4 linked regions of the Notamacropus eugenii genome follow. The protein of the gene in region 1 purifies or fractionates together with the protein of each later gene. This does not show direct contact. Links are inferred from orthologs where the notes say so. Each region holds a gene or a part of one and is shown on either strand. Other genes may lie near its edges.

Region 1 (6,838 bases):
GGTATTCTGACATGGGTTTTGTTTGTGCCCCCTCCACTCTCCCTCTGTGTGGATGCATGTCTCTCCTTTGGGGTCTGCATGTCTCTGTCTTATCTCTCAGACTTGGTCTCTGTGTTTTGCTGTCTTTCTCTGGCTCAGCCTCTGTGCCTATGTATGTCTTTTTGTGTTAGTGTTTCTGCATGTGTGTGCGTTTGTGTGTGTTTGGGTCTCTCTCTGGCCCAGCCTCCTAAGGTCCTTCCCACCCTGACCTACAGCTTTCTAACATTTCCCCTGCCAGGCTGAAGATGGAGCTGGAAGCTGGTGGTCAAGGTGGTATCACAGGGCCCAGGGGGAGCCCCACTGCGGGAGCTTCTGAAGTCGTCAGTGGTGTAGTTGCAGAGGGGGCCCTAGCGGAGGTAAGGACCCCAGAGTCGCCAGCATTGGTTACTCAGTAGCCTGGAAAAGAGAAAGGAAGGGAGACAGCCATGCATAAGGATGTTACTAGAACTTTGTTCCAAGGAGATCCTTAGCCACTTTTTTGGTCTTTAGCCTGTTGTAGAGCCCCCAACAGCCTGGGAGAAGGAACTGAATATTGACCACAGCCCAGGGAAACATCCTACTGGGCAAGCCTCAGTCTTGTCCTAGAACCTCACAGGGAGTTCACCCATTTGCACCAGGAGGGAGCTGCAGCCTGGTCTGAACCTAGCTTGGAGAGACAGTGTTTGGTCCTTTGGCCCCATCTCAACCATGGGGGACCGTCTGGTATACTCTTTGGAATAAAGAACTCTGTTCTGTTCCCTTTCTCTGGCTGTATTTCTATCCCCCATCCCCCATCCCCCATCTTGTCCTAATGACTTCCTTTTCTTCTTAGGTGGGGTTTGAGCACTCTGTGGGCCCCCATCTCCCAGATCTATATAGTTCTGTAGTATCTCTGGAGCCTCCTTGGTCCATGCCTCCTATATGCCAGGTCTGGACTCATCCTATTTTACAGTGTCTCACACTTGGACCCAGAGCTCTGGTCTAGTCTTCCCACTCTTTTCCTCCTGTAGTGGGGCTATGGCCTCCTCTTAACTCTGACCTTGCTCAAGACCCCAGGACAAAGAACTGGTATATCCAGGCAAAGTTTGAAAATACACCCCTCGGAAGTCTGGATAATGTGAAAATAAAGGATATCCATATCCATATATAGTAATATATCTATATGCATACATATATATTTTTAAAAGAAAATGACACCCCTTTATATGTTCCTGTCTACCAAGGTAATCTTGTAGCTCTTATCATACAAGACATATGCAACACAAAATAAATAATTATACATTATGACATTATGAAAAGCAATATTAAAAAGTAGCACCGTTTGCTTCCTTACTGCATCTTGTACCCTATATAGCAACTTTGCCTTCCTCTGTTTCTAACTCTGATCATAAATTCAACCTCAATAACCCTAATTTTTTATCATCTGACTTTTTATTTCACTATCAAACACAATCCCAGTCCATCCTGATTTTCCATCAGCATTCTATCCACTAATCAAACTGCCAAACTCTTCTCTAATGCCAGTCCCAATTGTCAATTCCTCAATTTTCTCTCCAAGTCCACTCTGTGCTTGGAGAGTTCCCTGCCTACTTCTTTCTCATGACCTTGAGGACTTTCTTGTCAAAGCGCTCTTTAGGTATCTGCAGGAACTTGGTAACATCAGTTGTCCACTGGATCTGACTGGAAGTGATGCCCATCTGGAAATCAGTGGGATGGGAGGGAAGGCTCAGAAGCCCTAAATTCCAATTTCTAGACAACCCTCTCCCCCAGCTTAGCTCTAAATCTTCCTCTCCTATGGTGTAGTGGGATTATACTGGGACTGAAATCCCACTAATGAATTCTAACTGATTGAGTGGACTGGAAGTTCGATCTAAATTCTAATCCTGGCTCTGTCATAACCTTAGCAAGTTAAGTCTCCTTCCTGGGCCTAAGTTTTCTCCTATCTTGGATGAGATCAGAAGCCTATTTCCTCATTTTAACTCACCCTGTTTCCCCTCCATTCCCAAGGGGCCTGGATGTTAAACCAGGTTTCCCTGGCATGGCCACTGGCCCACTTATCCCACTTGTTAAGGAAGTTTTTGATGGCAACGCAGTGGTGGCTGTTTCAGAGCATTCCCCTCAGAGCGTTCATCTCAAGTTGCACATTCCACAGCACAAGAGCGTAGCCTAGACAAGGGAGTGAACAGAGGCTCAGCAGAGCATGAGGAGGAGATGTGTGCCTAGGTCTGAGGAAGGGAACAGAAGTTGGGGACAAGGAGAGGGGAGCAGGAGCCAGAGCTTGAAGACAAGTCCCCAAGGCAAGAGGAATCTTAAAAGGAACAGAAAACAGCATGCCTGCATCTGTGAGGGAAATGGAAGCTGAGAGAGAAGGGTGTCTATACCTCAAGAAAACCCCAGGACTGAAGAAGAGGCTAAGTGTGGGGGGATCCATGAAGAGAAGCCCCACTTACCTTAGTAGGCCCTTCCAAAAGCATGGTGTGGGGAAAATCAATATATTCTTCATCACCTGAGAACATTCAGTCAGCTTCCCACTTGCTGCTGACCACCCATCTGTGAAAAAGAGAGGCCATCATCTCCTGTCTTCTCTTTTTTCTTTCTTTGTCTTCCCAGCAATTAGAAGGGTGCTTGGCACATAGTAGGTGCTTAATCAATGTTCACTGACTGGCTACCTCTCACCCAAACCATTGGAATTGCTTCTAAAGTGCTGTCACTGCTTCCAGTCTCTTCTTCCTTCAAATAGCTGCCAAAATCAGCCTCCTGATTCTTAGGTATGTCCATGGCATTAGTGATTCCTCACTGTGTAGGGAACAAAACACAAACCTGATTCCAGCACGTGAATCTCTTCAATCTCCCTTGTGCACTTTGCTAGGTACTCCTCCTCCTGATGCCCTCTAGGCATAAGCCCAGCTGTGGGCTCTTCTCTATCCTGTTTTTGTCTTGGCCTTGCCTCCTGCTGTACTTTTGCTTGGTTTGTCTCTCAATGTCAGGAGTAGAGCTCTCGTAGCAGTCCCTGTAAAAGTGGAACCCGATGCTTTAGGTAGTACCCTTTCCTTAGGGGTTCTCAGAGGCTGGTGGCGGAAGGGATTTTTGTTCATGTAATGGCTGATCAAGAAGAGATCAGTGTGGCAAGTTAGGTGGCGCTGCAGGTGGCTCTGCAGTCAGGAAGACCTCAGACACCTACTTACTGGCTGTGTGACACTGGACGAGTCATTTGGCCCTGTCGGCCTCAGTTTCGGCATCTGTAAAATGAGCTGGAGAAGGAAATGGCAAATGACTGCAGTATCTTTGCCATGAAAACCCCCAATGGGGTCACGAAGAGTTGGACATGATAGAGCAAAAGCAATAGCATGGGCTGATCTAGAGGCCCACGAAGGTCGTTCGGGCTGCCCTTCCTGCCCACTTGCCCATCAGGTCGGGCTCTTGGGGCGTAGCTGGTAACGTCTTTCACTTTCACTGCTCACTTCCCTTTGGTGGCACTTGGGCCTCAAGAACTTCGTGCGCTCGGGAAAGGGCAGGGGCGGGTTGGGTGGCGGGATCACGGCCCCAAGAGCCGGAAAAGCTCCAGGAAGGCAAAAAGCCAACCCAAGCTTCCCCCACCCCCACTCCCCCCCCCGGGGCCCAAGGCCGCCAACGCGCCTGCGTCCTAGCCCGGCCGCCGTCATGCTCCCTTCACCTCCCAGAACCCGGAACCTTGGCCCGGGCGGGCCTCCCTCCGCCCAGCAGTTCCTAGGCAGTGCGCCTGCGCGCCTCCGGGCCGCCGAGGCAAGGCAGCATTGAGCCTGCGCACGCACGGCTACGAGGCCTCGGAGGGCTGAAAGAACCGGAAGCGGAAGTGGGTCCGAGGACAACTCTCGCTCGGAGAGGCTCCCGTTGTTGTCTCGAAGGAGTCTCGAAATCCCGGCGCCGCCATGGTGAGAACGAGGGGCGGAGCCGGCCCGGGGCAATCCCGGGGGGCAGCCCGGGGGAGGAGGCTGAGCGGGTCCGGGACGAGCCCGGGGGCCTTCCTGCAGGACGAGGTGGCTGGGGGGCCCCACTTGGGTGGCTTTGGGCGCCGTCCGGGGAGGAGGGGCACCCCGGGGAGCACGGAAGGGGCGGGGGCATTCCTCAGTCTGGGGGGACATCCGCGGAGAGGGGCGGGGCGGGCAGGGAAGGAGGGACTTGGCGGGGGGGGGGGGGGGGGGGGGCGCAGCAACCATGGCCGCCGCCCGCAGCAGCCCAGGTCCTGCGATCGCCCCCCAGCAAAGAGGCTAGGAGAGGCCTCCCGGAAGGTCGTGGAGTTTAGGAACGGAGGGCCTGGAGGCCTCCCTGGAGGAGAAGGAAGGGAGGGGCAGTGACTGGGAAGCAGTTCAAGCCGCCCGAAGGTGGAGGCGGAAGGGGAAGGTCTAAGGTCACCCCGGGCGGACTCCAGGGCTGAGGAGGCGGGGGCGGGGAAGAGATTTCCGGAGAAAAATTGTAGACCTGGCTCGGGGTTCGGGACGAGGTGGGAACGTGAGACCTAGAGGAAAAGACCGAACTGAGGAGGGAAGACTGAGTCAGGGCCGAGCCTGGGCGGGGCATGGAGGAGAAGGGAGGAGGGGAGGGGTCTGGGAAGTGGGCGGGGGCAAGAAGACTGAGGGATTCCCTCTGCTTTTGTGACCTTACAGGAGAGTGAGTTTTCAGACCCAGAGCCTGGGGCCACCGGCGGGGAAGAATCTAAGTCGGACATCGGGGAGAATGCGCCCATTTACTGTGTTTGCCGGAAGCCCGATATCAACTGCTTCATGATGTGAGAACACCCGTTGTAGGGTGTAGGTGGGTGGGCTCAGTCTGGGGAGCTCTCTGGAGGAGGAGTCAGGTTTGATTGGCCATCAGGAGGGCTCCTCCAAGCAGGACCGCAGGGCTCGGCTCCCCAAAAGAGCTTTTGCACTGGGGAAAAGAGGAGCATTTATGGAGATCCTCCTTCAGAGAGCAGGTCTCAGGTTCCCATGTGTCAGACTTAACTTCCAGAGAAGCCTTGTAGCTGAATGCACTGGAAAGGGGCCCCTAGCTTTCCAAGCCTCACACACATCTCAGATTCTTTGCTTCTGTCCCTTGTGCAGTGGCTGTGACAGTTGCAATGAGTGGTTCCATGGTGACTGCATCAAGATCACAGAGAAGATGGCAAAGGCCATCCGGGAGTGGTACTGCCTGCAGTGCCGGGGTGAGTCTTGGGGGGTGGAGCCTGGGGGTTATGGGGGCCCATTTAGGGGGAATCTTGGCTAGCAACAGAGGGATCCCTCAATCTATGCCCATTTCCCGGACAGAAAAAGACCCAAAGCTGGAGATCCGATACCGGCATAAAAAACCATGCCGTGAGCGTGATGGGGAACCCGAGACTGAGCCCAGGGACGACGCGACCACCCCAAAGAGGAAGGTTGCCTCAGATCTCCTTGTAGAGACTGTGGGAAGTGGGCCCATGACCATCCCCAAGGGCTTCACCTCTCCCCACAAGGCCCCACCTCCCTCAGCCCCTGGGCCTGGACGAGAGGTATCCAACCAGGTGAGCTTGGAGAGAAGTTTGACACTTGGAAATAGAGTTGTAAAATCTAGGGCTTATACCAGGAGGAGGGAACTTTGAGTTGGAAAAGAATATGGGGTCCCAGGGTTTTATGGTATATCCTTCTTTATTGTAGGGCATTTATGATGATAAAAGATCTTCTTAGAACAGTGCTAATCCTAGGAGTGTCTCTCCCCCATGTTCTGTCCTCCCCTACTGTATTCCCCCCAACAGCAGATCAAACGGTCAGCCCGCATGTGTGGGGAGTGTGAGGCCTGCCGACGGACAGAGGACTGTGGTCACTGTGACTTCTGCCGTGACATGAAGAAGTTTGGGGGCCCCAACAAAATCCGCCAGAAGTGCCGTCTACGGCAATGCCAGCTCCGAGCCCGGGTGAGAGAGCACAAGGTGGCTCTAGAAGGTTTGGGCCTAGCTGACCCCCACCTAACCCACACCTCCCCTTTACCTCCCGCACGCTTCTCTTTTCTCTTTTTCTAGGAATCCTATAAGTATTTCCCTTCCTCGGTGAGTCTGGCATCAGCTGTGGTGAGTGTTGGGGTTAGGACTGGAAAACATTCCTCTTCTTTGGGGTACTGCCCTTCCAATAACCCCAAGTCCAGGAACCATGTTGGGGGAGGGGCAGCTTGGCCCATTTAGGGGGCAGTTGCTAGAATTGCTAATTCCTGCAGACCATTCTGTATCCCCTGTTCACTTCCCTCTTCCCCACAGTATATTAGAAGGAGCCCCAGGCAAGGATCAGGCAGCTCAGGCCCTTTCCCCTCTCTGGGCCTCCCTTCCCTCCCATTAAGAGCATTGATCTAAGGGATTGCCTCCTGGTTCTGCAATCTCCTGGGCTGCCCACCTACAGCACCCGCTGCTTCCTCCATAGCAGAAACTTCTTCGGGCACGGGAAGAACATTTCCAGATGTTAAAGGAGCCCCCAGAGGCCGTGGCCACCCCTGAAGCCCTCTCTGATGAGGATCTGCCTCTGGACCCTGAGCTCTATCAGGACTTCTGTGCTGGCGCCTTCGATGACCATACTTTGGTGAGGGGCTGGGCCCTGTTCCTTCTTGTGCAGATTAGACTGGGCCTCTGGAAAGCCCCTTCACGTAGGTCCTTTATCTGTTTTCTCTGCTTAGAACCTTGGAGTGTCTTCTCCAGCATGAGGTAGCATGAAATACGGACTGGGTGCTAGATTTGGGGTGTAAGCATGTGGGTCGGAAGTCTTGGGATCTTTAGGCAAGTTATTTCACCTGGGGCAAGTAATAAGATTGGATTTCTACAGCCTCCAAGGTCTATTCCAAC
Region 2 (7,086 bases), on another chromosome or scaffold:
CGACCCTGCAAGCTGGTGTTCGGGAGAAGATAAAAGCATCTAAAACCTAGACCTATGCAAAAAGAAAGAAAGGAAGGAGAAAAAACAACCACACACAAAAAAACAACCCCCAACCCTAAGCCCACTCCAACTGAGCCCCAAAGTAGGATTTACCCAGAGCCAAGGCATGCGTGGACAGGCCCTGCAGCTCAGCGAAGCCACCTCCTGCTCCAGGACTCGCAGCTGCAACAGGAGAGGAAGAGAGAGAAAGAGAGCAAGCTCGAAGCGGCCATTAGCAAGCAGCCCAACCCAGCCTAGCTCGGGCCAGCTCGGCCGGGCCAGGCGTCCCCCTGCCCAGAAACCCCGGCCCTAGCCCGCCCGCCCCACCCTGGGCGCGCTCTCGGAACGCAGCGGGATGGGAGAGAGGGAGGAGGAAACGAGCTGGGGGAGAGAACAACCAGGCAGGACTGCAGCAGCCCGGGAAAGAAGGACTGCTGCGTCATGGCGCCAAAATGGACGCCGTGCCCCTGGTCCTTCCCTGCGCTGCCCGAGGCGGCCCGGGGTCCGGGCTGCCCCGGCCAGGAAGGGTGGGAGGAGGATCGAAGAAGGTTCCCCCCCCCCCCCAAGAGCTTCCAGCGGGAGGGAAAGCCCCTAAATTTGGCAAACTGAGCCCCCCTGGAGGGTCGGATTAAAACCCAACCCAAACCAGTTTTCCTTGGTTTTCCTCAAACTGCCACATCGTGGATTACAATGGGGAGAAACCTGGGTGGGTGATGGAGAAGAGCGGCCGAGGAGCCCACCCCTTCACCTCACCAGCAACGGGGGTGGTCAAGGGTGTGGAGGTTGCAGAGAGGCTGCTGTCCCTCCGAAGGCAGGAAAGGAGTCACCCTAAACATCCCCTCAGTCCCAAAGAGAAATGCACCAAGTCCTTTTGGTAGGAAGACCCCCAGCCCCAGCTGCATCCCTCCCATCCCAAAGTGTCTCTATCTAGCCTCTCTCCACTGTCCATATTGTCTGCCCCTCCTCGCCAACTACAACCGACAAGCTTGGAAACCCAGGCAGGAAACCCTCGGCTCTATGAACTCTGCAGCGGGGCCTGCTCTAGCCGGTGTGGATCCAAGGGCTTTTAAAAGGCACGTTTTTACTTACCGGTGCTCAGCTTGGCGCAATGGAGTCTGGAAGGTGAACTTGGGCGTTGGTTTGGTGATGTTATTAGTAAGAAAAAAAACCCACCATTTTGTTGGAGTTTGTTTGATTATTATTATGGGGGGGGAGAAAGAAGGTCACTACCTTTTTGTCAATTACAGTGTCATGTCATTTCATCGCCTTCGAATTCAGCAAACTTTTCCCAGGGTTCGGCCAAAGGCTTGCTGGCTTCGCCGGCAGGGCTGGTTAGGGCAAGGGTATTAAGAGTCATTTCAGAGACAAAAGGTAAAAAAACAGACGCTTCAAACAAAACAGGAGACAAAGGAGAGTTAGCCACTTCGCACCCCGGTCACCCCAACAACTAAAGCAAAGACTGCCCAGTTTAATAATGCCGTTTGCCAGCCACTGCTTAGGGCTTCTTTGAAGGGGTTTCAGTCTAGTTTCCTGTGACCAGTTCAGTCTCTGCAGAAGAGTGGGGCTTTCTTCTCTCTTCCCTCCCCCCCACCCCCAAGACTGGAGAAACCAGAGCTGTCGCCCTCAAAACAGAGGTTGCTTAAAGAAAATCGACCAACTAATTGGGAATGAAGCTAGCTAGCATTTACTGTAGAGAAAACATTTCTTAAAACCTAAAGCTATCTCTCATCGTCTAAAGGCATGAGATTTGGTTGTGAAATTCGACAAGAAGACAAAAACAGACATGCAGAGATGAAGGCTCAGAAATTAGGACATTTAGGTAACATTAACATGAACACTGAACTGAAATAAGGACAGAATGGATTGGGTACTTACAACAGAGAAGAATTTAAAAGAACATAGCATAATGGTTTACATTTTTTGGCTTAATACTGCCAGAAGTCATTATTTCCTAAAACTCTACATTTAAAACATTACCTTGTTAAGAGAGAAGGAGAGGAGTTAATAAGATGGCCAGGTATAAGTGTTTAATAGAGGAAGTTATATATATATATTTTAAAAAATTTATTGTTCAGTCAAGAGGATACAGATTAGACAGCTCAAGCCCCGTCCCCACGCCCCCAGCCAAAAAAAAAAAAAGGAAAAAAGTAAATAAATATGTTATTTACTTAAGGTTTTTTGGATTCAAAATTTTTAAACTGCTGACATTAATGGTGGGCTATGACCTAGTTATACAAGACAAAGATGGATTCCAGGTCATAAAGAGAAAAAAGCAAAATCCAAAATCATTTTAAAAAATGAAGTCTTCCTTCTTCCATCGGTCCTTTAGCATTGGTGACCAACATTGGACAAAACACGGGACAATCCTGCACTGGATGGTGGAGTCAAAGGAAAAGCGTTCCCCCTTTTGGAACAAAGGAAAACCCACTTGGCCATTTAATTCCATGGCAGAAAAATGGCTCCCTGAATGTTGGCCTCTCCTTGGCTTGTCTGATGACGGATGTTTGGAGATCCGCGTCTAATAACTCAAGCCCCATAGAAGCTTCGCGCTGATTGGCCCAAGGGCCCTGGCGCCCTGAATCAGCCAATTACCGCACCCCGGCCCAATTACAAACCCCCAAAATACCCCCCAATATGAGACGAACCACAGTGAAGCTGAAGCAAGACAGGCAACCTCCTCTTCAGCCAGGAGGAGGCAGGGAGAGAGCAAGGAAGGAAGGAGGGGAAGGGGGAAAAAAAAATACCCATTGCTCCCTCCCCCACCTCCCCTGTAATAGTGTAACCGAGAAGCACAGGGTGCTTTGGGGTAGAAGCGACCAAATGGAAGCTGCCCGCTGATTGGTCGCCGCCGGTCCCAGGACCTTTAATAAAGAAAAAAAAATGAATGTAGAAAGGGACTCACTAGAGTTTGGGGAAAGTATGGGCGGGGGGGGGGGGGTAGGAATAGATTTGACGTGCCCCCGACAAATGCCAAAGAAAAAGCGGGGGTGGGAGAAAAAAGTCCTTCTTCCAAAAGGGGGAGGGGGAGAAGAGAGAAGGAAAGAAAAGCACGCCGAGGCCGTTCTGCATCCTTCCAGCAAAGCCCGGTGATTGCAGCGTAACGCTAATTTGGAAATCCTGGTCTCTGCTCCGAGGTTGCTGGGGGTGCAGGGGCAGACAAGGAGGACGGAGAGGGAGACCAAGGAGAGGAAGGGGGATCCCTCGATCGCAGCTCTAGGGGATCCCGCGCCGAGGCTCCCCCACTCCTCCCTCGACTTTAAACACACACATACACATACACCCCCCCCCCCCAAAGTCAGGCGGTCCCACCTCCAGTCCATCTTGTTTCTAAAACAGTGTAGGAAGCCGAAGGTAAACGCTGGCAGCCCGGACACTGTGGGCCCGGGGGAAACCGATTTCTGGAGAGGGAGGAGGAAGGGAACCCCCTCCCCCTTTCCCAAATCCTCCCTCCCAGTCAAAATCCCGGTCCTCCTCCAGAGATAATAAAATGCATTAATTAAAAGCCCGTCCCCAGGGCCTCCCCTCACCCCCCAGCCCAGGCCCTAGGGCCTCCGCCCCAGGCTGGGGGAGAGTAGGTTGGGGGGTGGCCTTGGCTGGGGGGGGGGTGTTGCAGCGCAGCTGCTGCGAGCGCCAGGGGGAGAGGAGAGTGGTGGAGGAGGAGGAGGAGGAGGAGGAAGGAGGAGGAGGGTGAGAGATTGGGTCGGGCTCCATAGCGGTGTATTGTGGGATGTGCGGGGACTGGGAGCCGAGCCGCTGCCGCCAGCCGCCTCCTCCAGCAGCGGCAGCAGCAGCAGCCGCCGCCGCCGCCGCCGCCGCCGCCGCCGCCGCAGCAGCAGCAGCCGCCTCAGCTAGCCCCCGGTCCGGCCGCCCCAGCCTCGGCTCCCGCGGGGAACACCATGTACAGGCTGGTCGCGCAGGGAGGCCGGCGCCCGGCGGGGATGTAAGCAGGGGCTCCCTAGTTCCCCCTCCCCCCTTCCTCTCCCCTCCCTCCTTCCCCTCCCCTCCCCTTCCCTCCTTCTCTCCCTCCCCCCTCCCCGGGAGAGGCCAGCGGAGGCCGCGGCGGAGCCAGGCTGGGGGGGTGGCTGGGAGGAGGAGGAGCGGGAGCGGGCTGGTGGCGGCGGCGGCCCGCGACCCCCCAGCCCCGAGCCCCAGCGGCACCATGGCCTTCCGAGGGATCCGGGCCGGGGGGCGAGGGAGCAGCCACGCCGAAGATCATGGCAAAAAGCAGAGTTCAAGTGAGCTCCCCCCTCCTGCCCCGGCCGCCGCCACCGCCGCTCATCTCGGGCCGCCGCCGCCGCCACTGCCTGCTCCCCAGCCCGGGATCGCTCCCGTCCGCCCGGGCAAGGGGGCAGCGGGCAGCCTGGTGGCTGGCCGGCTGGCTGCCTGGCGGGCGGGCGGGCGGCGGGTTGGCTGCTCCGCTCTCGTTTTCACAAAAATAATCACCCGGTTTTTTGGAAACGGGGAAGGCTCGGGTGGGAGGAGGGTGGAGGCTGGCGGGGGGGGGGGCTATTTTCTTTTTTAATTTTTGAAAGCCGCTGCGGAGGAGACACAACTTGGTGTGGGTCGTTTTTCAGGTTGGGTTAACGGCATGGAGAGCAGTAGCCACCACCACCACCAGCAGCCTGGACCGTCGGGGGAAAAGAGAAACCACCATTGGAGAAGTTACAAGTTGATTATTGACCCCGAGCTAAAGAAGGGACAGCATAAGCTCTACCGTTACGATGGACAGCATTTCAGCAAGGCTGTGAGTGGAGCGGGGGGTGTCTTTCCTTCCTTGCTTGCTGAAACGTACATAGCACCCCCTTTCTTCCTCCTGCTTCTTCCAGGGCCCAAAGACCAAGAGGATCTGCCGGGACCTCCCCCCTCCCCTTTCGATGGGAAACGTCAGGGGGGAACCCTCGGTAGCTTCCCCCCCCAACCCCCCAGACAGGGCTCAACTGTCAGGTTCCCAGCCCACCTCCTTCAGGTCTGGCCGGGTTTGTCGTCCCCCCCCCCCCCCTTTCTTTCAGCGCCTGACTTTTGACACATGGGGAAGGAGGGAGCATGGAGGGGAAGGGGCTGCTTCCTCTATCCACATTTCCCTGGAGTTGTGTGTTCCCATCCCCACCCCCCTTCAATCTCAGAACTCTATTTTTTCTTTCTCTCCCCCCCACCCCAGACTCAGTGTTTTCTCTCGGTGAAAATCGAGGATCCGAGAGTCAGAAGGACATGGACAAAAACCAAGGAGTTGGAACTTCGTGTCCCCAAATTCAAGGTAGTGACCCCTCTCCCTAGCCAGGGAACTTGGGACTTATGGGGGGGAATTACCCCGAGTTCTAAAATACCGTTGGGAAGGACATGGCCCCGGTTCCCGCCTGTCTGTGTGTGTGTGTATGAGGAGTAGTGGGGGGGGGGGCCAAACTGGTGTTTAGAGCAGCCCGGCTTCTGATGTCAACATTGCAACAACCATCCAGATTTTAGACTCCGGAGGGAGGGAGGGAGGCTGTGGATACTTTGTCCCACTGGCCTGGAAGGGGGTGTGTTTCCAGAGACATGGGGGGGTTCAGCTCTTGAGGTAGGGGGTGTCACTGGCACCGGGGAACACTCCCCCCTCAGGGCTGCCCTTCCTTTCGATTTAAAGGGGAGAAGGCCCCTGAGCAGGGGAGGGGGCATACGTCAGGGAAGCAGGGGGAGGGGAAGGAGAGAGAAACTGTTTCATATCCCCCCTTTCCTTCCGAACTCGAGGACTTCCACGTTCCAAACGATTTAATCCTCAGCTTTCTGTCCCCGCCCGCGTGCATTTAAAAAAAATATGCATATATATTTATTTATTTTCTAACTCCTTAAGGTTTGGGACAGGGGGCCACTGTGGCGGCATGACGCTTGCCCGGATCAGCCTTCCTCTTGAATTTTAATTTTTTTTCCAATCTCGATTACCCCTTCTTCCCTCAAATTTCACCCTCCCTCCCCCAGATCGATGAGTTCTATGTGGGACCGGTGCCTCCCAAGCAGGTGACTTTTGCCAAACTGAATGACAACATCAGGGAAAACTTCCTGACCGACATGTGCAAGAAATATGGGGAGGTGGAGGAAGTGGAGATCCTTTACAACCCCAAGAACAAGAAACATTTGGGCATTGCCAAGGTGGTCTTTGCCACCGTAAAGGGGGCTCGAGAGGCTGTGCAGCATTTACACAACACCTCGGTCATGGGCAACATCATTCACGTGGAGCTGGATACTAAAGGTGGGTAGGTCCCGAAGGGGCTGGGGGAGAGGTGAGGGGTGGGACTAGCCAGAAGCAGCTCATCTAGATCGTTCAGCTGTCCTCAAACTGCCTCCCCTTTCCCCTCTTCTCACTTAGGGAATGTGGGGTTGGAGCTCAATTTTTTCCCCTCTGAAACCTCCCCTTTTTTGTCCCCCCCCAGAATCACGTGGAGCCCGATGTGTTGTCTGTTGCTAGGAGACAAGCTGTAATTTACAAAATGCTCCAGTCCTTGGCCACCCCCCCCCCCCACCGGGACCACTCAGAAAATTAGCCCCAGTTGGATTTACCCTGTTCCCTCAGGGCCTCCCCTCCGTAGGCCCCCCCCCCCAACCTTTGTGTCTTGGTTTCAAATGGTCCCCTGTGCTATGGTGGCCCCCTTTTGTTTACTGGGGTGTTTGTCTCTTTTGATATGGGGATGATTTTACGTGCTGGGAGTGACTAAGGGGGCCTTCTGTAAATAAAGTGATGGAATGAATTCGTGGTCTCTCCTGGAAAGGGCACCAAACTATCCCATCTCCCGGTAGCCAACGGGGGCAGCTATTTCATTGATAAATAGTGAATGATGAAGCCGAGCTGCTTCACAATCCTGCACAGGAGTTGACAACTGTGTGTTTCTTTCCTCACTCCCTCTTAAAGGGATAGCGGCACTTCCTCTCTGCAGGAATCCCTCCACGGTGTGAAAAAAAAAAAAAACATGCCTGTGCTGTTTGCCTCTAAAAACAGGAAAGAGGACAAACTGGGGGCGGGGGATATGAGTTGCTTGTTTGCCCCCATTCTTTCTCCTGGATACTGATGGCTATTCT
Region 3 (6,945 bases), on another chromosome or scaffold:
ACTCATTTCCATGGTTTATAGCTTCAAGAAATTATGACTTTCTTGGCCTTAATAGTGAAATTTTAGTAGCTAAAGGTAAAAGCTAAGAAGGTAAAAAGCTAACGATAAAGTATAAGAATTCCTTAAGAGGGAAGCATATCCAACAACCATTTATCTGCTAAGGGTCCAGTCGATTCAAGGCATTACATATTATTGCACATTTTACCTCAATAATTTTCAAACCAGAAACTTTAGAGATTTCTCTCTCATCAGTTTTTAGCTTTGTTTCTTAATGCTCAACTTTCCCTCTTTCCCTTTGGAAACAGACCTTTAAAATATATCCTTTCTATTACACCCGACAAAGTAAAGATACCAGAGTTCTTCTATCAGAAGGTATCAGAGTTCTCCTCTTCTGGTTTTCCTCTTTCTCTTTTGGCTGCTCCTCTATCTCTTTCACTAGCACTAGTTCACTGTCCTCCTCCAATTTACTAAGTGTGTGTATTCACCAAGACTTCAGCTGAAGCCCTCCTTTCCCTTTATAATACACTCTCACAAAGATCTCAATTACTTCCAAGGACTCTTTCAACATATGCTTTCAGCCATAAGCTCTTTCCGCTCTGGTCCTGTAGATCTAATTGCCCAAAGGACATTTCCAACTCCTCTCTGCACCTTAAATTCAAAAAGTCCCAAACTGAAGTCAACATCTTCCCCGTTTCCCTATTTCTCTTAATGGTGCTACTATCCATCCTCCTAGTCACCCACACTCAAAACATTGAATTAATCATCAGCTGTTCCTTCCCCCCTGCCTCCCACATCCGAACAGTATTTATGTTTTTGCAGCATATCCTTTCCCTTTCTCTTAATTTCCATGGCCACTTAGCTTGATAATCTTTTAGTCATCCTGTGCACTGTACTCTCATGCCTTATCTCCTCAGTTTCCCAGTCTCATTCATTCTGCCTTTTACATCCATCCTTTCCTGTCCATGAACAACACCGTAATGCAGGTGCTCATCACCTCCCAACTGGATTTTGTAATAGTTTATACATGCCTTCCCTGTCTGCAGTCTCTCCCCTCTCCAATCTGTCCTCCACAGGGGAGTATATTGCCAAATCGTTATTTATAAAGTACAGGTCTGACCACACCATCCCCTTACTCGGGAAGTAAGTGACTTTCTGTTGCCTCTAGGATAAGATACATACTCCTCTTTCTGGCATTTAAGATCCTTTAAAGAACGGCTGGACTTATTAATGGTTTGATGTCAATGTGGAAGGAAGTTTCCAGGAGAGTACTCCAGGGACTTGTGTTTGATTCTGGGTTATTTAACAGAGAATAATTTCGATTAAGGCATTATATGCCTATATGCTTATCATACTTGCACATGGACACAAAATTGACCAGACAGAAAAAACTCTGATCCTTTTTCCATATGAAGCTTCTTTAAATACTTGAAGAGTTATTCCCCTAGTACCCCCCCCCAGTTTTCCCTTCTCCAGGTTAAACAATCCCTTCAGTCAAACTTTATATGGCATGCTCTCCTGTTCCTTCATCATCTTGACTGCCCTGCTCTGAAAGAGTTTCACCTCGTCTATGTCTTTCCTAAAATATTATGCCCACAACTGAAGAGTGTAATCCAGAAGTCCAGATGTGGTTAGATAGGAAGAGTACGTAGTCCCATTCACCGGCTCATTCTGAAAACTCTCCATCTCTTACTATAGCCTGAGATAGCATTCGCTGTTAGCTACAGAACTGAGATTGAATCCTAGCTCTGCCAACTACTACCTAGGTGACTGAGCAAATCCCTATGCCTCAGTTTCTTCCTCTATGAACTAAGGGAACTGGGCTATATTACTTCTCATGTCCCTTCCAGCTTTAAGCTATGATCCTACGATAATGAACTTTCTATTTGTCCTTGTTAAATCCAGTTTGTATCTGCTTGGCCATTGCTGAGAACCGTTGAGATTACTTTGGATACTTACGCATGCATGTATCCAAATGACAGGTTTGTATCAATGTTGCACTGAACAAATTGTATCTCTAGACTGATAAAAACGTTAACCAGAATGCGGCCAAGGACGCGTTTCTGCGGGCACACTGCCATCAACCTTCCTGCAGGAAGACCCTGACCTACTGATGGGTGGCAGACTTTGTCAGAGGCCTTGCTGAGACTGCAGTGCCCTAGGAGAAGCAACAGGATGCCAGGTGAAGAGCAAAGGACTTCCAGGGCTGAGAGATGCGGCCCTGATCACCCAGAGGGAGAGGAGATTATAAATCTAAGTATGTATAAATAAATAATACATAATTTATGACTTTCACTACATACATAAAGTTTGTAAGTCATCATAAAGGATAAGACAGATAGCTGAAAAGCTTCTAAATGGCGTTACTGTGGGAGGGTGAGAAGGGAGGTGATCCTACCAGGGGAAAACCTTCTATCCCAATTTCTCCGATAAGGGTTCAGCGTCCAAGACACCTAAGCGATCAATACCTCTCCCTAAGGCTAAAGGCTGTGTCTCAGTGGGTAAGTGACAAAGGGCACCAGCGGCTCTCAGAAGGATGCAGAACGTTTACAGCCACATGCCAATGCTCCAGACCACTGGCACTAAGAGGAGTGGATGCCAGACAGCCTGAGGCTGTACAGACAGACACGAGTGCCCAGGACGGATGTCAGGCACACTGACACGTGGCTGGCACAGACACCTGTGCCCGGGGAACCAGAGGCTCCCTCGCTGAGGGCACCCCAAGGGGCCGTCAGGAAGAACGAGCCCCCACACCCCAGGACACGCAGCCCTTCTTGTGGTCACCAAGGGCACAGCACTGCCCGGTAAGAAGCCCCAGCAGAGCCGTCTACGCCGACGGGGGCAGGGAAGCAGAGCCAGGACAACAACACGCACGGTCCCGGCAGTTATGGAAAGGAAACAACACATGCAAAGAAACAAGGGCACACGGGACACGGGAGAAGGCCCCTCCCCCGCCCCCACCTCCCATGGCGGCGGGCGGCCCGAGCGTTAGCACCCCGCTTTTCTTAGACTGCTCCACTGTACTGATCAGGGGTGCTTTCCCCCCATGTGAAAGTACTATTTGTCATAAGGCACGGCTCTCTGGAATGGGGCAGGGCCTGGGGCACAGAACATGCCAATAAGAAGCTCCTGGGGTCCGGCTTGTGCCACTCCCTGCCCAGCTGACCTGGCAAAGCCCCCTCTCTAGCGCCCGCTTCAGAGAGAGAGAGAGAGAGAGAGAGAGAGAGAGAGAGAGAGAGAGAGAGAGAGAGAGAGAGAGAGAGAGAGAGAGAGAGAGAGAGAGAGAGAGAGAGAGAGAGTGTGCGCGCGCGCGTGTGTGTGCCCAGCAGGGGGCCTGGCACGCCGTGGCGCTCCGCCAGCTGACCTTGGGTAAGTCACTTCACTGAGCGGAAGAATTACCCGGCACGCCTTGCTTCCCAGCCCCCTGAGGCACGCCGTGGCCGAGGGGACGGAATTAGGAGGTAAATACAAGGAACAGGCCGGCGGGGCAATTCCTCCCCAAGAGGGGCAGGGGTTCCTTCATTGTTCTGCTTGGAGAAGGCAATTTCCCATAGTCCTTCGGGGCAGCAATAAACAACCCTCCCATAGCCCTTTGCAGGAATGCCAAGCGTGTAGGAAATCCTAGAAAACCGATTTCACCCACGTGCGCGGGGCCCTTGGCACAGCGGGGGGAGGGGCAGGCAGCCGGAGCTGGCCCTTGGGCCCCATCCCTTCAGTGGGCACCCAGGGCTGGGAGGAGGAGCCCCCGGGAGGGCATCTCCTCCCCTCCCCCCCTCCCCCCCTCCCCTCCTCCCCTCCCCCCCTCCCGCGGCGCTAGGGGGCGGGCCTACCCGAGACCGACACCGAGGCCCCACGGAAGTCGGCTCCCGGGACGGTGACGTCACCGCCCCGCCCCCGCCCTTCGACGATCCCGGCAGGCGCCGCGGCGCATCGGTTCCCCCTGCTCTCCCCGCCGCCCCCCGCCCGCGCGAGCCCTCCCCCTGCCTGATTCCTTTCCCACAGTGCACTACGCCGGCGGCGCTGGTTCCGCGCCCCCGCGCCCCCTGCTTCTGCCTCTCGCCCCAAGATGGCGGACACAATGAGCCGGAGCCGCGCCGGCTTGCCCTGAGGAGCCCGGAGAAGCAGCCTCGCGGCCCAGGCCGAGGGACGACGCCGCGGACGCCGAGGAGCGAGCCGAGGAGCGGACAGCGAGCCGGCCGGCCCGTGTGCCCGGACGCCGCCGCGCCTCCCCGGGGCCCCGCCCCGGCCTGCCCCGGCCCTCGCGGCCGCCCTCCCGCCGCCGCCCCGGCTCCCCGCCCCGGGCCCCGGCGCCATGAAGCTGACGGACATCGTGCTGCGGAGCTTCCGCGTGGCCAAGGTGTTCCGGGAGAACTCGGACAAGATCAACTGCTTCGACTTCAGCCCCAACGGCGAGACGGTCATCTCGAGCAGCGACGACGACTCCATCGTGCTGTACGACTGCCAGGAGGGCAAGTGAGTGCGGCCTCCCCCCCGCCCTGCCCTCCCCTCCCGCGCGCGGCCCCCGGCGTGCGGCGCGGACACGCGCGCTTCGGCCCACCCGCTCCCACGGGGAGGGCCCCAAGTGCGGGAGAGGGAACAAAAGAGCCGCGCGTCCCGGGGTAGAGGGGGGGGCGCGGGGCGAGGGACCGGGCCAAGGTCACCCGTCCTGCGGCCCCTGTTGGCGGCCCCCGAGCGAGGAGCGGCGCGTGGGGAGCGCGGGGAGGACGGGGCGCTCCCCGTGCGGGACGGCCCCGTGCGGGACGGCCCCGGGTCCGAGCTCTCCCGCTTGCGTTTGTGGGAGCGAGGCCGTGACTTCTGGGCGCCTTCTGGGCAGGGGCAGACGCCCGCCCGCCGGCCACCCGTGCCCCGGCCCGTGACCTCGAGTGAACCCCGGGGCTTCTCTGCCGCCCGTGGGCGTCTGGGGCTCGGCGTGGAATTTAAACTTTCCCCGCGGGTTTCCGCCCTGTAGCAGCCGCGTCTCCTCTGTGGAGCCCGGGGAAGGGGTCTGGGCTCCCCGGAACCGAGGCGCGAAGGACGGCTTTGTCCCGAGACGTGGGTCTGACACGTCCCCGCAGGGCAGAGGCCCCCCCCCCCCCGCGGTGCCCCCCGCGAGGCTCAGGAGCTGTGTCCGAGAGGGGCGCCCCCGGGGCGGGGTTGGGGGGCAGCCCCGCTCCCCCTAGGCTCCCCCCTGGACGCTGCAGGACCCCGAATTCCTGATCTGAAGACGCTGTGATGCCCAGAGTGGGCGTCCCGGGGCCCACGCGGGGCTGGTGTCGTGGGGGCCGGGACCCGCGCGGGAAGCCAGCCCTCAGCCCGGTCCGGCCGGGCGCGGAGAGCGCCGCTCCCACGCGTGTCAGGCTGCCGCGGCCCCTCGGGCTCCCCGGGGTCCCAGCCCGACCCGGCCGGTGCCGCCTCTCGGAAGTGTGGGCCGGACCTCCGGGCGTGCCCCCCTTGGTCAGGCTCAGCGGGCCGGACTCGGGGCGGAACCGAGCCTGGAGCCCCGGAGCCCCGGAGCCGGCGTGCTGAGGAGCCATCCGCCCGGCCGGGTCACCGGGCCGGTGTCAGCGTGCGGTGCTGACACCCCGAAACCTGGGTAAGGGGCGGGCCGAGGGGCCGCGCCCCCTGAAAGGAGGGAGCTGCGGGGCCTGCTGGCTCGGGGCTCGGGTGGCGTCGCCGGGCAGGCTTGTTTGGGCCGCGCCCCCTCCCCGCCCTCCCGCCGAGCCGGCCGCGCGTGACGTCCCGTCCCGGGGCTCTTCCCTCCGTGTCTCCGCAGGCCCAAGAGGACGCTGTACAGTAAGAAGTACGGGGTGGACCTCATCCGCTACACGCACGCGGCCAACACCGTCGTGTACAGCTCCAACAAGATAGACGGTGAGTGAGCGCCTGCGGCGGGTCCTCGCGTGAAGTGGGTCAGAGAGGCCCGGACCGGAGGAGTCCGAGATAGGGTCATTTCAGACGGGATGAGGAGCTGCCTGACGCCCAGGGCAGGCGGGAGAGGGCGCGTCCAGGGCAGTTGATGCGCACGCGGTAACGGCGCTTGGTGTGCCTGCCACCGTGTCCTTAACGTGGGGGAACTTCCGTCGGAAGGACGGCTGGGCCTTTCTTGGCGCCGTGTCCTTTTTCTTAGGGGGACTTAAATTGTGCCTGAATTTGATCCTGTTTGATCGCAGTTGAAGCTGTAGACTCGAGTCCTCTGGGATTGGGCGGTTTGTCTTAACTGATGATGAAGCTTCTGAGGGTTTTCTGTAACGGGCAGGCTGGTCTCAGTTCAGCTTTCTCACTTCGTGTAGGTTTTCCCCATTACAATGACCGACTAGTATTTGGTCGTCCTAACTATTTCTGCTTCTAGCCAGTCTGCTGGTTAGCTCCAGCGCGTCACTGAATGAGAGTTGGTGAAATTGCTGTCTTAGTCATACCTGTAAATCTGCTTCCTCCTGAGGGGGTGGGAGTGTCATTTTTAGGAGACTTTTCTGTATATAAATTGATCTAGTGATCTACGGTAGTCTTCTAAATACGTAAATAGTGTAGCCAGTGCGGTGGAGCTAATAACTAGGATTCACTTCACAGCAAATATGTTGATTGCAAGCTAAAAAAAGTTGGAAGTTTTTCCTCTTGGGCTTTTTTTTCTCCTGATTTGAAAATCCTCCTTATATGCAATGAGGAGACATGGGCGTAAAACTTCTTATCTAGGCTCCAAGTTAAAGAAGATACCTTGCTGGTTCTGTACTTTAAGGATGCTGCCTTTCTTGTCACCCTAATTCCCCCCTGTTCTTCATGAAGAGCTCCAGCCTCAACCCGTTTCCTTCTGCCTGATTCCAGGCTGAGGTAGTAGTTTGTACAGTTTGAGGGTCTATGATACCACCCGGTACAGGAGATAACTGTACAGGCCACTGCCTTGCCAGGGACAGAGCGCTGCCACCAACAATGGTTTGTAGCAGAGCATGAGGA
Region 4 (7,196 bases), on another chromosome or scaffold:
AAAATGGAGATTCCAGGAAAAAAATCATCACTGGGAGAAGGGATCTACAGGCACAAAGGGAGAACATAAGTCAGTCACAGTGGTGAAAACGAGAGAATAAGGAATAGATGGTGTGGGCCCTTCCCCAAAATGAAGGTCAGTCAGTCAACAAGTATTTATTAAGAGCCTGTTATGTGCCAAGAAAGGCAAAAAAACAGCTCTTACTCCCAGGGAACTCACAGAGACAACATGCGAATAGCTATCTACAAATAAGATGATATGCAAGAAAAATTGTATAACTGGTAATCTCAGAAGACTAAGGAAAACTGGGAAAGGCTTCTCTTGAAGGAAGCCAGAGAAGCTAGGAGGTAGAAATGAAGAGGGCAAGAGTTCCAGGAATGCAGAATAGCCACTGATAACACTAAGAGCTAGGCGATAAAGTATCTGCTTTGAAGAACAGGAAGGAGGTTACGGAGTCTGAGGAGAGAAGGGAGGCATAATATAGCTATTCCAAAAGCAGAAATGATAGGACTTGACAGCTAATTGAATGGGGGAGAGGGGGTATAACTGTGAGTAAGGAGTTGAGTATGACACCTAGGTTGCAAATCTGGGTTGGCTAAGTGGATGGTGGTGCCCTAGGTGGTGACAATAATAGTTAAGTTAGGAAGATGGGGGAAATTTGGGAGGAAAAATAATGAGTTCATCATATTTGGACATATTGAGTTCAAGATGTCTACAGGACACTTGGTTTAAGAAGTCCAACAGGCAGTCAGTGACTCAAGAATGGGGTCATGGAAAAGTAAGAGCTAGACAAGAAGATCTGAGCATTATCCACACAGAGTTAACTAAAACTTCAGGAGCTGATGAGATCACCAAGTTAAATAGTATAGATGGAGAAAAGGGCCCAGGACAGAGCCTTAGGGGTTAGTAGGTATGGCTTTGATGAAGATCCAGTAAGTGGGATGGAGGAGCATTCAGACCAAAGATCCAGGAGAGAGCACTGTCTCAAAAATGTGAAGAGAACATTAAGAGGGTCATCAACAGCATCAAAGGCCACAGAAAGGTTGATGACTCCCAGATTTAGATACCCAGACTCAATTTTTCCTTTGAGCTTCAGTTCTATATAACCAACTGCAACTAGGGCATCCCCAACTGGGTGTTTTATAGTCATCTTAAATCCAACTTGTCCAAGAAAGAACTTATCTGCTCTGCTAAAATCTCACCTCTTCTGAGCTTTATTTCTCATGAGGATACCACCATTCTTCTAGGTACCCAGGTTTGAAATCTCAGTCACTCAAAATTCCTCCCTCTCCCCTTATTATCCAAATCAGTGGCCATCCTGCCAATTTTACATCACCTATACATCACATTTACCACCCTACCTCTACTTATAGAGCCACAATCCTAGTTTGGGCTCTCAATAACTCTCTCCTGGACTATTTCAATAGCCCTTTGGTCTTCCTGTTTCCAGTCTCTCCTCTCTCCAGTTTATCCTCCACACAGAGGCCAAACAGATTTTCTTATAGGATAAAATGGCCATGTTATTCTCTCACTAAACAAATTCCAGCACCTCCTTATCTCTAGGATAAAATATAAATTCCGTCATTTGGTAGGTAAAGCCCTCTACTGGTTTTTTCAAGTTTATTACACATAATTTTCACACACTCTACTCTGTAGGCCAACTGGCCTATTTTGCTATTCTGTACACATTCAATCTCCCAACTTCACCATTGTACACAGGCTGTATCCCATACGGGGGCATACTCCTTCACTTCCATTTTCTTCAAAGTTCAAGTGCTCCACAAGGCTGATCCTGTTACACTCACAGTAGCGGGTGCCGACATCCTTAATTTACTTTTTATGTAATTTACACTCAACTTTTCTGCATACATGTTGAAAGTAACTTCAATAGACTTAGCAGATTTTTAGTCAATAGAAACTTTGTATCAAGTTTTGTTCTGATACAAAAACTCCCCCTGCCAAACATGTAGCAGCGCTTAATGTTTAATCTGTTAATGAAATGGAAATTGACGAATCAAGAGCTACAGACTTTTTTTCCCCCAGACTTACCGATGAAAAATATCATTCTGCTTAAACATCGTCGACCCAGCAAGGAAACACTGTGGGTACAAATGCCCCCCCACCCCAGACCAGGAGGTTCTGCTGCTGGGAGGTTACATAGGGGTTAAAGCTAAAAGAGATTACAGCAGCCACCTAAGAATTAGAGCTGGAAACGATAGATGCAGATTGAGTTGCTAGAGATGTTCAGAGATTTTTTATTCCAAGAGTTACCTTTTTTTTAAAATTATTTTTTCGTCATGGACCTACGTGTTGATGCCTATGGACCCATTCTCGGGATCGTGTTTTTGAATATACGATGTGAAAGAAAGGGTTACCCCGTCGTTTTACACACACAGCAGGAACGTGAGGCCCCGAGGGGATGCAGGGAACAGTAATACCGGACACTGCTAGGCCCATTTTCATACGACAACAGTGACCCGGGAGGTCCTACGGCCATTCTCTTCCCCATTCTACAGCTGAGAAAAGCGAGGCCCGAGGAGGTGAAATGGCACAGGGGGCAGGGGTCTGAACGCCGGGCTTCTCGGCCGCCGCTACCTTGGTGTCCACGTCGGCGAGGCAGTCCCTGCGGAAGCCGTCGAACAGGCCGCGGCTCTTGAGCTGCTCCACTATGAGCGCGATGAGCTGGGAGTCCCCGGGAGGCAGCGACGCGGGGTTGGTGACGCCGGCCCCTGCGCCCCCCGAGCCCGAGGCCGAAGCCGCCGAGGCCTGGCCGGAGCCGCCGGCCCCGCCCCCCCCGCCGCCGCCCGCGCTAGCCCCCGCGCTCCCTCCGCCGCTGTCCGCCATGGCCACACCCTCGGCCCAGGGCCCCGCCGGCGGTTCTCGCCCGGGGCCTGAGGGGGCGGCCACTCACGGCCCCGGCCTGGGCCTCGGCCAGGCAGCCTTGAAACAAGGCGGCGGATCCCGCTGGAACCTCGGCCTCCGCTGCCGCCACGAACGTGAATCACGTGTCTCAAGTTTCACGCTGAGCACACCACGGTCACTATGCTTTCTGGGGCTGGGAGTCCTTGCGTGGGGAGGACTCGCCTGAATATGGGAAAAACCTCCGCCTGCGTAAACTACAACTCCCATGAGGGAATGGCGGCACCAGGGAAGAGTCACAGAAATCGCGCCTTCCCATGGTCGAACAGGGAATTGTAGTTCTAAGGCCTTTCTTCGCTTGTGCTTGAGAATTCTATCCCAGGTTAGCAAACGATGGTGCCAAATCCCAGATTCGTAAATTTAGAGCTAGAAGGAACGTTAGAGGCCATCTAATAAAATAGCTAGGGGCAGCTAGGTGGCTCAGTGGAGAGAGCGCTGGGCCTGAAGTCAGGAAGACCTCAGACCACATACTAGCCGTGACCTTGGGCAAGTCACTTAACCCTGTTTGCCTGGAGAAAGAAATGACAGACAACTCCAGTATCTTTGCCAAGAAAACCCCATGCATGAGCACTATGGTTCATGGATTCATGAGTCAGCACAATAATAATAAAAGCTAGTGTGTGTATATGTATGTGTGTGTATAGATACGCACTAGCTTTTATTATTATAATACATATTACATATAATTATATCCTACATTGTATATGTAATATATAGATATATACTTTAAGCTTGCAAAGTGCTTTACACATGTTACTTCATGACCCATATAGTCCAGCTCTCCTCTTACAGATAAAGAAGCTGAGAGACCAGAGAAGACTTGCCCATGGTCACACAGATGTGATTTGAACCAAAGTCTTCTAACTTCAGAAGTGACCATCCATAGTACTATGACCAGGGTAGCTAGGTGGTGAAATAGATAGAGTGGCAGGCCCAAAGTCAGGAAGATTCACTTCCCTGAGTTCAAATCTGACTAACCTGTGTGACCCTGGATGAGTCATTTAATCCTTATTGCCTCAGTTTCTTCATCTGTAAAATGAGCTGGAGAAGGAAAGGGCTAACCCCTTTGCCAAGTATCTTTGCCAAGAAAAACTCAACTGGGATCATGAGGAGTCAAACATGACCGAAAAATGACTGACCAACAATAACAGCAGTATGATAGCCACTGTTGTAGCACTCTACTACCATCTCTCTGTGATCACCACCTGAACTTCTATTTAGGAATTCCAATGGGCCGCCCCTATCTCCTCACAGGTCAGGTATGGGCAGGAACCTCATAATTTGCCTCCCTTTTGCTCCTCAAGCCAAATTGTAGTAGAACCAGCAATGGACATAGTGTCCGAAGACCTGAATTTTAATCCTGACTGCTAAATTATTATCTGTGCAACCTTGAGCAAATTATTCAACTTCTCTTTAGTTTCCTCATCTGTAAAATGAGGGGTGGACTCTGAGATGATAGCTAAGTTCCCTTCTAGCTCTAAATCATAAGGTTCCATAAGAACTTTCTTTTTAATCAGTTTAACAATGGGATGTGCTGCTTTCAGAGATAAGAATTCCCTCCCTATCTGATTACTGCCTAAGAGAGACACTGTACAGAGGATTCCTATATGGGTTGGGAGGTAGAAACAACCTCTATGTTCTTTTCCATTTCTTAAGTTGCTATGATGGTAGACTGGTGTAGTGGAAAACTCACTGGCCCTAGAATAAGAAGACTGGAGTCCAAGTTCTGACTCCTGTATTTGGGTTTTTCTTCTCTGGTTTTAATTTCCCATTCCCAAATAAGGAGGTTTTCATTGAGTTGGGGCAGCTAGGTGGTGCAGTGGATAGAGCACCAGACCTGGAGTCAAGAAGACTATCTTCCTGAGTTCAAATGTGACCTCAGACACTTCCTAGCAGTGTGACCGTGGGCAAGTCACTTAACCCTGCTTGCCTCAGTTTCCTCATCTCATAAAATGAGCAAAAGGAATGGCAAACTACTCCAGTATCTCTGCCAAGAAAACCCCAAATGGGGTCATGAATTGGATATGACTGAACAACAACAAAATCTTAAAAGTTCCTTTCAACTTTAAATTTCATAATCCTATGAATACATATGTGTACATGTTATAGGTGTATGTGTGGATACATACATATACATTGCATGCACATGTGCATATAATATATCATAATGTTATAAGTTCAATATGTGTTTATATATTATATAAATTATATATGCCATATACACATGTACATATAATGTATGTATATGCATATATAGATGTATGTATACACCCATAAACACACAAACATATGGAGGTAGGGATATTTATTCTCTTTATCCTTGGTGCTCAATCACACCCTCCAGTTGTGTGGCCCCAGGGGAAGGGAAAAGAAAAAACAATAATTCTAGTCATTTTCACTAAATTCTTCCCTATAGAGGAAACTCAGAGTTCTCAAAGGCTGTGCTAACAGACTGTAAATTCTGACAAGGCTAGAGATCCAGAGAAGCTTTGGGCTAGGAACAAACTGCCTGTCAGCTAAAAACTAGCCTGACTAAATGCAGAAAGAGGATGAATTGTTTTTGACCAGACCAAAGTGTGGAAGAACTGTATTCTACATCAGTGGAGGTAATGAAGGTCCATACCAGTGAAATCAGGGATGCTGGGGGAGTATCTAAGTCAGCCCTGAGAGGAGATGGAACATTAAGCCTTGATGACATAACAATTGTATGAATTCAAGTGACACTGTCCATAATGAGAGCTGTCAATTTCATTAAATACCCTCTGATACTGGAGGGGGAGACTAGGTCATTGGATCCTGGGATTTTCAGACCAGTTGGGGTTGAAAGATCCCCTCATTTTATAGGTGAGTAAATTGAAGTGCAGAGAGCATCTGTAGAAGGAGTGCTAGATTTAAAGTCAGAAGACCTAGATTTGACTCTACTTGTGTGACCTTGGCAAGAGAATTTATCTCTCTCAGTCTCAGCTTCCTCATGCATAAAATAGGTGGGTTGGACTCAGTGACCTAAGGGGGTTCTACCTCTGTGGTCCATCAGAGTGAAAGGGATTTACCCAAGGTTATGTAACTAGTAAGCAGTAGTGCTGGAATTCAAACCCAGGTCTCCTGACTCCAAATCCATTGTCCTTTCCCAGTGCTGAGCTGATGGAACTGTGAGAATAGTTGTGTTCTATATGCAGAATACAACCTCCCAGGTACTGACAGAAATGAGAATGGAGGTTGATCCAAGCCTTGGCACACACTCAGGACCTCAAAAAGTAGAAGCCCATAGGTACTCAAAGTTAACATAGTAAAAATGTAATGCAGGAAACAAACCACCAGGTGACACTATTGTGTTAAAAATCAGACACGGTTTCTCCTGGTTTAGTGTTTTCATTTGCCATGAACCCAAACAGTTAAAAAACCAAAAAACCCCAGAATCCTCCGCCTCTGGTTTTTGTTGTTGTTTACCAGACTGTGATTTCACAGGTAGAGGGAGTGTCAGGTGCTTAATCCAGTGCCTGGCACATAGTAGGCTCTTAGTAAATGCTTATTGATCAATTTCAGTACCCATACAAATGAAGATTAGCACTTCATTGTGAAGAGTTGCCTGTGGCTCGAAGAGCCTCGCCCAAGGTTCTTCAGCTATGGCTTGTTAGGGGCCGAACTTGAATCCAGGTTTTCCTGACTCCAATTACCCATGAAGACTATAGACTGCCAGGATGTGGTTAAAACTTTGTTGTGAAAGATCTCAGGTTACTTAGTAAAGCACAGAAGTCCAGAGAGTTTAAGAGACATGTCCCAAATTACATAGCTGATAATAATATGTAGCATTTACATAGCACTTTAAGGTTTGTAAAGTATTTTCCAAGTAATTTTATCCTCCCAACCACCCTTGGAGGTGCTATTATTACCCTCATTTTATAAATCAAGAAAGTGAGGCACAGAGATGTTAAATGACTTGCCCAGGGTCACACAGCTAGTAAGTGGTTGGATTTGAATTCTAGGCACTGTACCACCTGGCTACCTCCAGAACCAAGATCTATATAAAGTCTAATTAAAAACCAGAGCTGAGATTTAACACAAGCCTTCTAATTTCCAGCCCAATCTCTTGTCCAACAAATCACGCTGTCCTTCTCTACAATCATGCCTGAGTATCTCTTACACAAAATGTCTTCCTGTAGTGCTTTTCTATTTTTAAAAGAATCAATTAGAGCTATTATGGTTGAAATACATTTGGTCTTAGCCCAAGATCTTAGCGTACTCAAGTTTTTTAGGCTCACATTCTTACAATCAATAAC

What was found.
Region 2: the proteins of CXXC1 (region 1) and SETD1B purify together in Homo sapiens (affinity purification with mass spectrometry; 11 studies listed by BioGRID and IntAct, counting the BioPlex papers as one, with this or other methods). This does not show direct contact. The link is inferred for Notamacropus eugenii from reciprocal best matches to the Homo sapiens genes CXXC1 and SETD1B.
Region 3: the proteins of CXXC1 (region 1) and WDR82 purify together in Homo sapiens (affinity purification with western blotting; 7 studies listed by BioGRID and IntAct, with this or other methods). This does not show direct contact. The link is inferred for Notamacropus eugenii from reciprocal best matches to the Homo sapiens genes CXXC1 and WDR82.
Region 4: the proteins of CXXC1 (region 1) and BOD1 purify together in Homo sapiens (affinity purification with mass spectrometry; 4 studies listed by BioGRID and IntAct, counting the BioPlex papers as one, with this or other methods). This does not show direct contact. The link is inferred for Notamacropus eugenii from reciprocal best matches to the Homo sapiens genes CXXC1 and BOD1.

What each region holds. Positions count from the first base shown.
Region 1 is NC_092879.1:101,929,946-101,936,783, forward strand, and holds the start of CXXC1 (CXXC-type zinc finger protein 1), read left to right. Parts: upstream 1-3,833; 5' UTR 3,834-3,926; coding exon 3,927-4,034; intron 4,035-4,171; exon of another isoform or gene 4,172-4,379; intron 4,380-4,391; exon of another isoform or gene 4,392-4,498; intron 4,499-4,661; coding exon 4,662-4,783; intron 4,784-5,096; coding exon 5,097-5,197; intron 5,198-5,300; coding exon 5,301-5,536; intron 5,537-5,767; coding exon 5,768-5,926; intron 5,927-6,031; coding exon 6,032-6,079; intron 6,080-6,422; coding exon 6,423-6,578; intron 6,579-6,838. Other genes in the region: synaptonemal complex central element protein 1-like, read left to right, coding at 278-395, 529-624. UniProt on the Homo sapiens protein: Transcriptional activator that exhibits a unique DNA binding specificity for CpG unmethylated motifs with a preference for CpGG.
Region 2 is NC_092875.1:37,038,783-37,045,868, forward strand, and holds the start of SETD1B (histone-lysine N-methyltransferase SETD1B), read left to right. Parts: upstream 1-4,073; 5' UTR 4,074-4,198; coding exon 4,199-4,274; intron 4,275-4,613; coding exon 4,614-4,783; intron 4,784-5,197; coding exon 5,198-5,293; intron 5,294-5,991; coding exon 5,992-6,262; intron 6,263-7,086. UniProt on the Homo sapiens protein: Histone methyltransferase that catalyzes methyl group transfer from S-adenosyl-L-methionine to the epsilon-amino group of 'Lys-4' of histone H3 (H3K4) via a non-processive mechanism.
Region 3 is NC_092872.1:2,352,174-2,359,118, forward strand, and holds the start of WDR82 (WD repeat-containing protein 82), read left to right. Parts: upstream 1-3,931; 5' UTR 3,932-4,309; coding exon 4,310-4,470; intron 4,471-5,770; coding exon 5,771-5,868; intron 5,869-6,945. UniProt on the Homo sapiens protein: Regulatory component of the SET1/COMPASS complex implicated in the tethering of this complex to transcriptional start sites of active genes.
Region 4 is NC_092872.1:405,794,173-405,801,368, forward strand, and holds the start of BOD1 (biorientation of chromosomes in cell division protein 1), read right to left. Parts: upstream 3,018-7,196; 5' UTR 2,845-3,017; coding exon 2,596-2,844; intron 1-2,595. UniProt on the Homo sapiens protein: Required for proper chromosome biorientation through the detection or correction of syntelic attachments in mitotic spindles.